Callithrix jacchus: one gene and its partner. The protein of the gene in region 1 purifies or fractionates together with the protein of each later gene. This does not show direct contact. Links are inferred from orthologs where the notes say so. Each region holds a gene or a part of one and is shown in the gene's direction. Other genes may lie near its edges. The genes, in order: NOP2 and SRPK2.

The links.
Region 2: the proteins of NOP2 (region 1) and SRPK2 purify together in Homo sapiens (affinity purification with mass spectrometry; 3 studies listed by BioGRID and IntAct, with this or other methods). This does not show direct contact. The link is inferred for Callithrix jacchus from reciprocal best matches to the Homo sapiens genes NOP2 and SRPK2.

Annotation. Positions count from the first base shown.
Region 1 is NC_133510.1:20,752,532-20,756,346, reverse strand, and holds part of NOP2 (28S rRNA (cytosine(4447)-C(5))-methyltransferase), read left to right. Parts: intron 1-1,830; coding exon 1,831-1,886; intron 1,887-2,006; coding exon 2,007-2,160; intron 2,161-2,258; coding exon 2,259-2,456; intron 2,457-2,595; coding exon 2,596-2,685; intron 2,686-3,783; coding exon 3,784-3,815. UniProt on the Homo sapiens protein: S-adenosyl-L-methionine-dependent methyltransferase that specifically methylates the C(5) position of cytosine 4447 in 28S rRNA. Required for efficient rRNA processing and 60S ribosomal subunit biogenesis.
Region 2 is NC_133512.1:75,497,591-75,501,405, reverse strand, and holds part of SRPK2 (SRSF protein kinase 2), read left to right. Parts: intron 1-3,649; coding exon 3,650-3,815. UniProt on the Homo sapiens protein: Serine/arginine-rich protein-specific kinase which specifically phosphorylates its substrates at serine residues located in regions rich in arginine/serine dipeptides, known as RS domains and is involved in the phosphorylation of SR splicing factors and the regulation of splicing.

The DNA of each region.
Region 1 (3,815 bases):
TGGGTGGATCACGAGGTCAACAGATCGAGACCATCCTGGTCAACATGGTGAAACCCCGTCTCTACTAAAAATACAAAAAATTAGCTGGGCATGGTGGCACGTGCCTGTAATCCCAGCTACTCAGGAGGCTGAGGCAGGAGAATTGCCTGAACCCAGGAGGCGGAGGTTGCGGTGAGCCGAGATCGCGCCATTGCACTCCAGCCTGGGTAACAAGAGTGAAACTCCGTCTCAAAAAAAAAGAAAAGAAAAGAAAAATGTGTTCCTTTTGGCTGGGTATGGTGGCTCACATCTATAATCCCGCACTTTGGGAGGTTAAAGCAGGAGGATTTCTTGAGACCAGGAGTTGGAGACTAGCTTGGACAACATAGAGTGAACCTGTATCTACAAAAAATTTTAAAAATTGGCCGAGTGCAGTGGCTCACACCTGTAATCCTAGCACTTTCGGAAGCTGGGTGGATCACCTGAGCTCAGGAGTTCGAGACCAGCCTGGGCAACAAAATGAGACTCAAAAAAAAAATAGCTGGTGTGGTGGCATACGCCTGTAGTCCCAGCTACTCAGGAGGCTGAGGCGGGAAGATGACTGGAGCTTGGGAGGTTAAGGATGCAGTGACCTACGATCTTTACTGCACTCCAGCCTGGATGACAGAGTGATACTGTCTCAGAAAAAAACAAAACAAAACTGAATCCTTTTGACATAGTAATTCCCTGTTAAGGAAGATGACCCAAAATGTAGGCAAAGAGTTATTTACTGAGGTGTGCAGGAAATTATTATAAAATTAGTGTGCGAATGTATTATTAGAATTGTATAGAATAAAAAAAGTTTCCATGTGCACCCTTTCCTGCAACGCCTTATATCTACAGAGTCACTATGAGGTTTGCAGGCACCATGTTGATCATGATGGCAGAAACTCTGGAAACTTCCAAAATATACAATCTGCTTAAGTATATTCATGCATATGATGTAGTTAACACTGGTCATTATGTCTGTGAAAATGCTTGTGATCTAACTGAAGTATCAAAAGCAAGAAACAAACTTGAAAATGCATTATGTGAAAAATATAGAGTAAGTCTGGAAAAAATATGGCAAAATGGTGGCCAAGGGCAATTTTTTGTCTTTTTTTTTTTTTTTTTTTTTGCAACCTCTGTTTCCCGAGTTCAAACGATTCTCCTGTCTCGGCCTTCTGAGTAGCTGGGACTACAGGTGTGTACCACTACGTCCGGCTAATTTTTTGTATTTTTAGTAGAGACAGGGTTTCATCGTGTTAGCAGGATGGTCTTGATCTCCTGACCTCATGATCCGCCTGCCTTGCCTCAGCCTCCCAAATGATGGGATGACAGTTGTGAGCCACCATGCCTGTCCTTGTCCCTTTTTATACATACAGGTATTTGTATTTCAAGTTTTTTTTTCTGAATGGAAAAGTGAAAAACATAGGAGTAGAAAAAAAAAGTGTAATTACCGATTTAATTCATTACTTAGTTTTTGTTTTTTTTTTTGAGATGGAGTCTTGCTCGGTCGCTCAGGCTAGAGTGCAGTGGCTCAATCCCAGCTCACTGCAACCTCCACCTGCTGGGTTCAAGCAATTCTCCTGCCTCAGCCTCCCAAGTAGCTGGGATTATAGATGTGTGCCACCACGCCTGGCTAATTCATTACTTAGTTTCAACAGTGGTCAGTATTGTACCAATCTTATGTTCATTTCTTTGCTTCTCTATTTCCTTCTGAGAGCAAGTGTCAACATTTTTATTTAGCAGAAAAAATAAGATACAGAGATAGAAAGTGCTTCATGGGCTGATGGAAAGGCAGGCCTGTGTTAACAACCCTTGTCTCTTCAGTTGCTGCCCATTGAAAAAGCTGCTCGGAAGCAGAAGGCCCGGGAAGCTGCTGCTGGGTGAGTTTTGGAAGCAATTGGGATGGAGCATAGGCAGCAGCTGGGGTGGGGGAAGCCGTGAGGAAGGAGGAGGTGTTTGTTTTGGTTTGTGAATCACTCTGTTCCTGGACCTATTTCTAGAGTCCAGTGGAGTGAAGAGGAGACAGAGGATGAAGAGGAAGAAGTGACCTCTGAGTCAGGCCCCCCAAAGGAGGAGGAGGCAGATGGGGGCCTGCAGATCAATGTGGATGAGGAGCCGTTTGTGCTGCCCCCTGCTGGGGAGATGGAGCAGGATATCCTTGCAGGGCAGAGTGAGCAGTAGGAGGAAGGTGCTTAGTAGAGCTATTTCCAGGCCCTAGGACATCATGACACAGTTCCTTAACAGGCCCACATGCCCAGGCTCCAGACCTGCAACGAGTTCACAAGCGGATCCAGGATATCGTGGGAATCCTGCGTGATTTTGGGGCTCAGCGGGAAGAAGGGCGGTCTCGTTCTGAATACCTGAATCGGCTCAAGAAGGACCTGGCCACTTACTATTCCTATGGAGACTTCCTGCTTGGCAAGCTCATGGACCTCTTCCCTCTGTCTGAGGTACTAGATTGCCAGAATGCCCCCTTTGCTTTTCTTTCTCACCACCTTACCTGTGTAAGGAAGATGTTCAAGCCTCCTTGTCTCCCTCTGACTGAGCTCCTTATCCAGCCTCACTTATTCCCTGCTGTCTTTCCCGAAGCTGGTGGAGTTCTTAGAAGCTAATGAGGTGCCTCGGCCCGTCACCCTCCGGACCAATACCTTGAAAACCCGACGCCGAGACCTTGCCCAGGTAAGGGGTGGCTTTTGAGGTTTGCTCACCTCAGAAGGGGACTGACTTCTGCCAACTCCAGAGGTTCCCCTATGCCACCCTGACTGGGTGGGGCCTTAGGACCTAAGCAAGATCCTGGGAGGCAAACCCAGAGGCCTGGTGTCTCTGACAGGCTAGGGGCCTAGGACCTCTGGGAAATGGGAAGTTCATCCCTCCATCCGGCTTTTGCTTCCTGTGACTGGGATGAGTGTGCTGCCTCCCAAGGAAGTTGGAAGATCATTGAGGAGCTGGGGAAACATAATTCCTCACTGCAAAAAAAAGACATATACACATATGCACACTCAGTATTTTGAACTCATTTCCAAGGGTTCAGGGGCCCGAGATTAAAGACCCCCTGTTCTGAAGTCAACTGTTTGGTTATATGTGTTGTATATCTTGGTGTGAAGAAAACCTAATAATGTTATATGCTGTAACCAATATTAAATTTTTTGGATGGGGGAGGGGCTCAGCCTCTTAGAAAATCAGATGCCACTTCCAGGAAATAAAGTAATAGGAGGTGGCATCCTGCTCCGTTGGAATGAAGTTCAGACCTTGAGTTAGGAGCCTGAGGTTAAGAAAAAAGGGCACCATAGGATGGGGTGAGAGAGAGAAACTGCTTGATGAGTCCATGATAACTGTGTTCTCAGTAAGCACTCTAGGAGTTGTGGGGCCATGGGCCGTGTTCTTATGAACCATGTTTTTAATGTCTTTATCTGTTTTCTGGGTAGAGTAGCCTATGAGGTTATTAAAATCTTCATCCTGGTCTGGCGCGGTGGCTCACGCCTGTTATCCCAGCACTTTGGGAGGCCAAGGCAGGCGGATCACCTGAGGTCAGGAGTTCGAGACCAGCCTGGCCAACAAGGTGAAACCCTATCTCTATGAAAAATACAAAAATTAGCCTGACGTGGTGGTGCATACTTTTAGTTCCAGCTACTTGGTAGTCTGAGGCACGAGGAAGAATCGCTTGAATCCAGGAGGTAGAGGTTGCTGTGAGCTGAGATTGTGCCACTGCACTCTAGCCTGGGCAACAGAGTGAGACTCTGTCTCAAAAAAGAAAAAAAAATCTTCATTCCCCTTCAGACTCTAATCAATCGTGGGGTTAACCTGGATCC
Region 2 (3,815 bases), on another chromosome or scaffold:
CCTAGGCTGGAGTGCAGTAATGAGACCTCAGCTTACTGCAATTCATATATTTACCTAAGAGAAAATAATTTTCAAGGTAACTTTTTTTTTTTTTTGAGACAAAGAGTCTTGTTCTGTTGCCTAGGCTGGAATGCAGTGGCTCCATCTCTACTCACTGCAACCTCCACCTCCTGGGTTCAAACGATTCTTGTGCCTCAGACTCTTGAGTAGCTGGGATTACAGGTGCACACCACCACACCTGGCTAATTTTTGTATTTATTAAAGATTGGGTTTCACCATGTTGGCCAGGCTGGTCTTGAACTTCTGACCTCAGGTGATCCACTTGCCTCGGCCTCCCAAAGTGCTACCATTATAGGAATGAGCCACCACACCTGGCCGGTAACATTTCTTTAACTTGTTAGGGTGCTAGGGTGCTACTTTTATAATAAGAATAAATGGTGAAAGTGTGTTTTTGAAATATGCTTTTCTCTCTTATTCTTATTTATCATTCTAAGTGATGGAGGTGGCTCTGTTTCTTGGGTATCATCTGCAGGGCTGGAGCTGGCTCATGGACTCAAGACTTGACCTCACTCATCCAGTGAGCCCACTCCTCTTGTGTCTGCTAGCCAGTAGTACAGAGTAAGGGGCTTGGGCTTTGTGTTCAAGTAACCTTACCAACTCTTGCCAGGGTAAGGTTACTTCTGATACTGAGTTTAAGGGTTTCTACATATAATCATTATAGCCTCTAGATGAATTGATTTTCTTTGCATTATGGAGTTTTTCCACATACTTACACACTCGACATACTTGATTTTTTTAGAGGCAGTTCAGTGTTCTGTTAAATTGCTATGTGTTGAGGACCGCAGGTGTTTAGGACTCTCCTGACGCTGTTTATAGACTGCTGCTTTGCACCTACAGTCTTTACTTGGTCAAAAGTGGTTAGATATTTTATGCTGCTCTTTGCAAATGTTTCTACCAGGTTATAGTATGCCTAGTTATGGATGAGTAGTTTCTCATGAACTTCCAGGATTGTTTTCCTCACTGGTACTACACAGCTGTGAAGCAGCTGTAGTGGTCAAGTGTATCTTTTCATGGAAGACTGTACTTAATCTGATGCCTTGTTGATGGGTCTTAGTTTAAAACCTGGCCCCGCAGAAATAGGTTCCTTTACTATTTTCTGCAGATAGTGCTTCTCTGTAGTTGCATTGATTTGCAAACTAGAGAGTGTTTATTCTGAGATAGAATAGCTGTATGTCATAAAAGTTCTCTCCCCTTCGCAGAGAACTTGCTTTCGTCATGTGTGAGCTTTCTTAGTTTGCTGTAACTGTTGCTGTGGTGAGATCTACAAAATGTAGAAATTGAAACAACTAACAAAAGCTGGTGTTTTGATTCACTTGATTTTCATCTTAATGAGCATTTTAATAATAAATCTTGTGATGATCTGTAGGACATAGTTTGTTCTTTTACTGCCCAATGTTGTACTATGCTTTTCTCCCATATTGTTAAGTAATATTAAATATTATTAATCAAGTGAATGTACCTTGTGTTTTGTTTGACCACTGTTTTCCTCTTATTGGCTCTTTGTAATTTTGCAAGTATATATAATTTTGTGCTGACATATATTAGGCATGAATTTGGGGTGGTGCAGCCAGGGTTTATCTTCTTAGGCTTAATTCTTAGAGCCAGAATTTCAGACGTGGAGGGATAAATCTGCAGTCACTGACGGCTCAGACTTTGTTTTTATGGAGGCTGTGTTTCCTTCAACAGGAGATCCCTTCCTGCCCCTAAGATTGCAGGCTCATTTCTTCATCCATGCAGATCTGATCTCTAGTTCGGCTGCGATACTTAACTGTGTCTCCAGTCCTCATATTGGAGCCAGAAGCAAGAAGCTAACTCCTTTAGCAAGAAGCCCTCTTAAAAGATTCTTCATACAGAATCCTGTGCACAGCATGTTTGCAACTCTGTAGACATACTAATGTGTAAGAATATGCTTCATGGCCGGGCGCGGTGGCTCACGCCTGTAATCCCAGCACTTTGGGAGGCCGAGGCAGGTGGATCATGAAGTCAGGAGTTCAAGTCCAGCTTGGCCAACCTGGTGAAACACCCCATCTCTACTAAAAATACAAAAATTAGCTGGCCTGTAATCCCAGCTACTAGGGAGGCTTAGGCAAGAGAATTGCTTGAACTGGGACCCGGGAGGCCAAGGTTGCAGTGAGCCCAGATCGTACCACCATACTCCAGCCTGGGCTACAGAGTGAGACTCCATCTCAAAAAAAAAAAGGAACATGCTTCAAAATAGACACAACAGAAGATCTGTGTGGGGTAGGATTGTAGGCCACTTCCCCTTTTGTTCTTAGAATTTTCGGTAATATTCTTTTCTTTTTATTATGATTTTTTAAAGGGGAGGGCATTTCTAAATTGACTTGAATAAATGAGTGAAACAGAACAAGCTCCTGAGAACACCTTTGTGAGCAGAGCACTGATTATCTATTATCATTATCACTGATGCAGCTCATGAAAAAAAAAATTTACCTTGCTATATAGCAGGTGAAAGGGGAGAGAGAAATCAGCCTTTGCATGAAGTGTGCCGCGGGTGCTTGAATGCCTCTCCCTCCCCACCTAGATCTGGGTGTTCTAGGGTACAGGCAGAGGGCAGTGTTTCCTCTGCAGAAGCTGCTCAGGGTGCACTGAAGGGCACCTAAGGAGGCCTGTTGGCAGGGGCATGGTGTCCATAAATCCCAACAGGCAGAGAAAATGAGTTATTCACAGTGAAATTTTCTGGACCTTTTGACAGTTTGCTGCCTTTTTGAAAAGGTTTGTGGGGGACAGGGTTTCCCTCTCATAGGCTGAACAACAATGGCATGACCTTGACTCACTGTAGCCTTGACCTCCTAGACTTAGGCAATGTTCCTGCCTCAGTTTCCTAAGGAGCTGGGATGTGCCACCATGCCCAGCTACCGTTTTTTTTTTTTAAGTAGAGACAGGGTCTGTGTTACCCAGGCTGGTCTGAAACTCATTGACTCAAGGGATCCTCCTGCCTCAGCCTCCCAAAGGGCTAGGATTCCACTGCTCCCAGCCCTTTTTTGCAGTTTGACTTAAAAATAACCTTTTTTTTCTCTTATACAATGACTATTACAGCTCATAGGCCATTTACTAGCTTGTTAGTCATTCTTTTATGTCACCAAAGCTGCATGTAACCCACACTTTTCCTATTGCAGCAGTATAACTTCAAGGTTTACAAATTAATGTCCTAGGATCTTAGATCTTAGAGCAAATGCGGAGACATGAGTGATGTTCGATTTGGGTTTGCCTCAAGTTTGCAAATTTTATGAAAGATCCCAGGTTGAAATAAGAGGGGCTTGCTTCAGCCTTTGGAAAAGAAAACATTCTGGGCATACTCAGCCCACTCCACTTACTTAAAGAAACTTAGAACTGATATGAATGAACTCTTAACCTCTATTTACATCCACCAAGCTGCCTTGAAATGTGCCTTGGTCGTATGTACATGTTGTGATTATTGCTTACTGGGGAAAAGCTGGCGTTCTTTGTTGTTGCCGTCTAAGAGTGGAGCAGATGGTCGTCCGCTTCATGGAAAAGAACCTGACTGGACCAACTATGGGAAATGCAAATTTGGAGCTTTCTTGACATTGGTCTGATTTTTCCCCTGTAGGAGAACTGCGACACATCACCAAGCTGAAGCCCTGGAGTCTCTTTGATGTACTTGTGGAAAAGTATGGCTGGCCCCATGAAGATGCTGCACAGTTTACAGATTTCCTGATCCCGATGTTAGAAATGGTTCCAGAAAAACGAGCCTCAGCTGGTGAATGCCTTCGGCA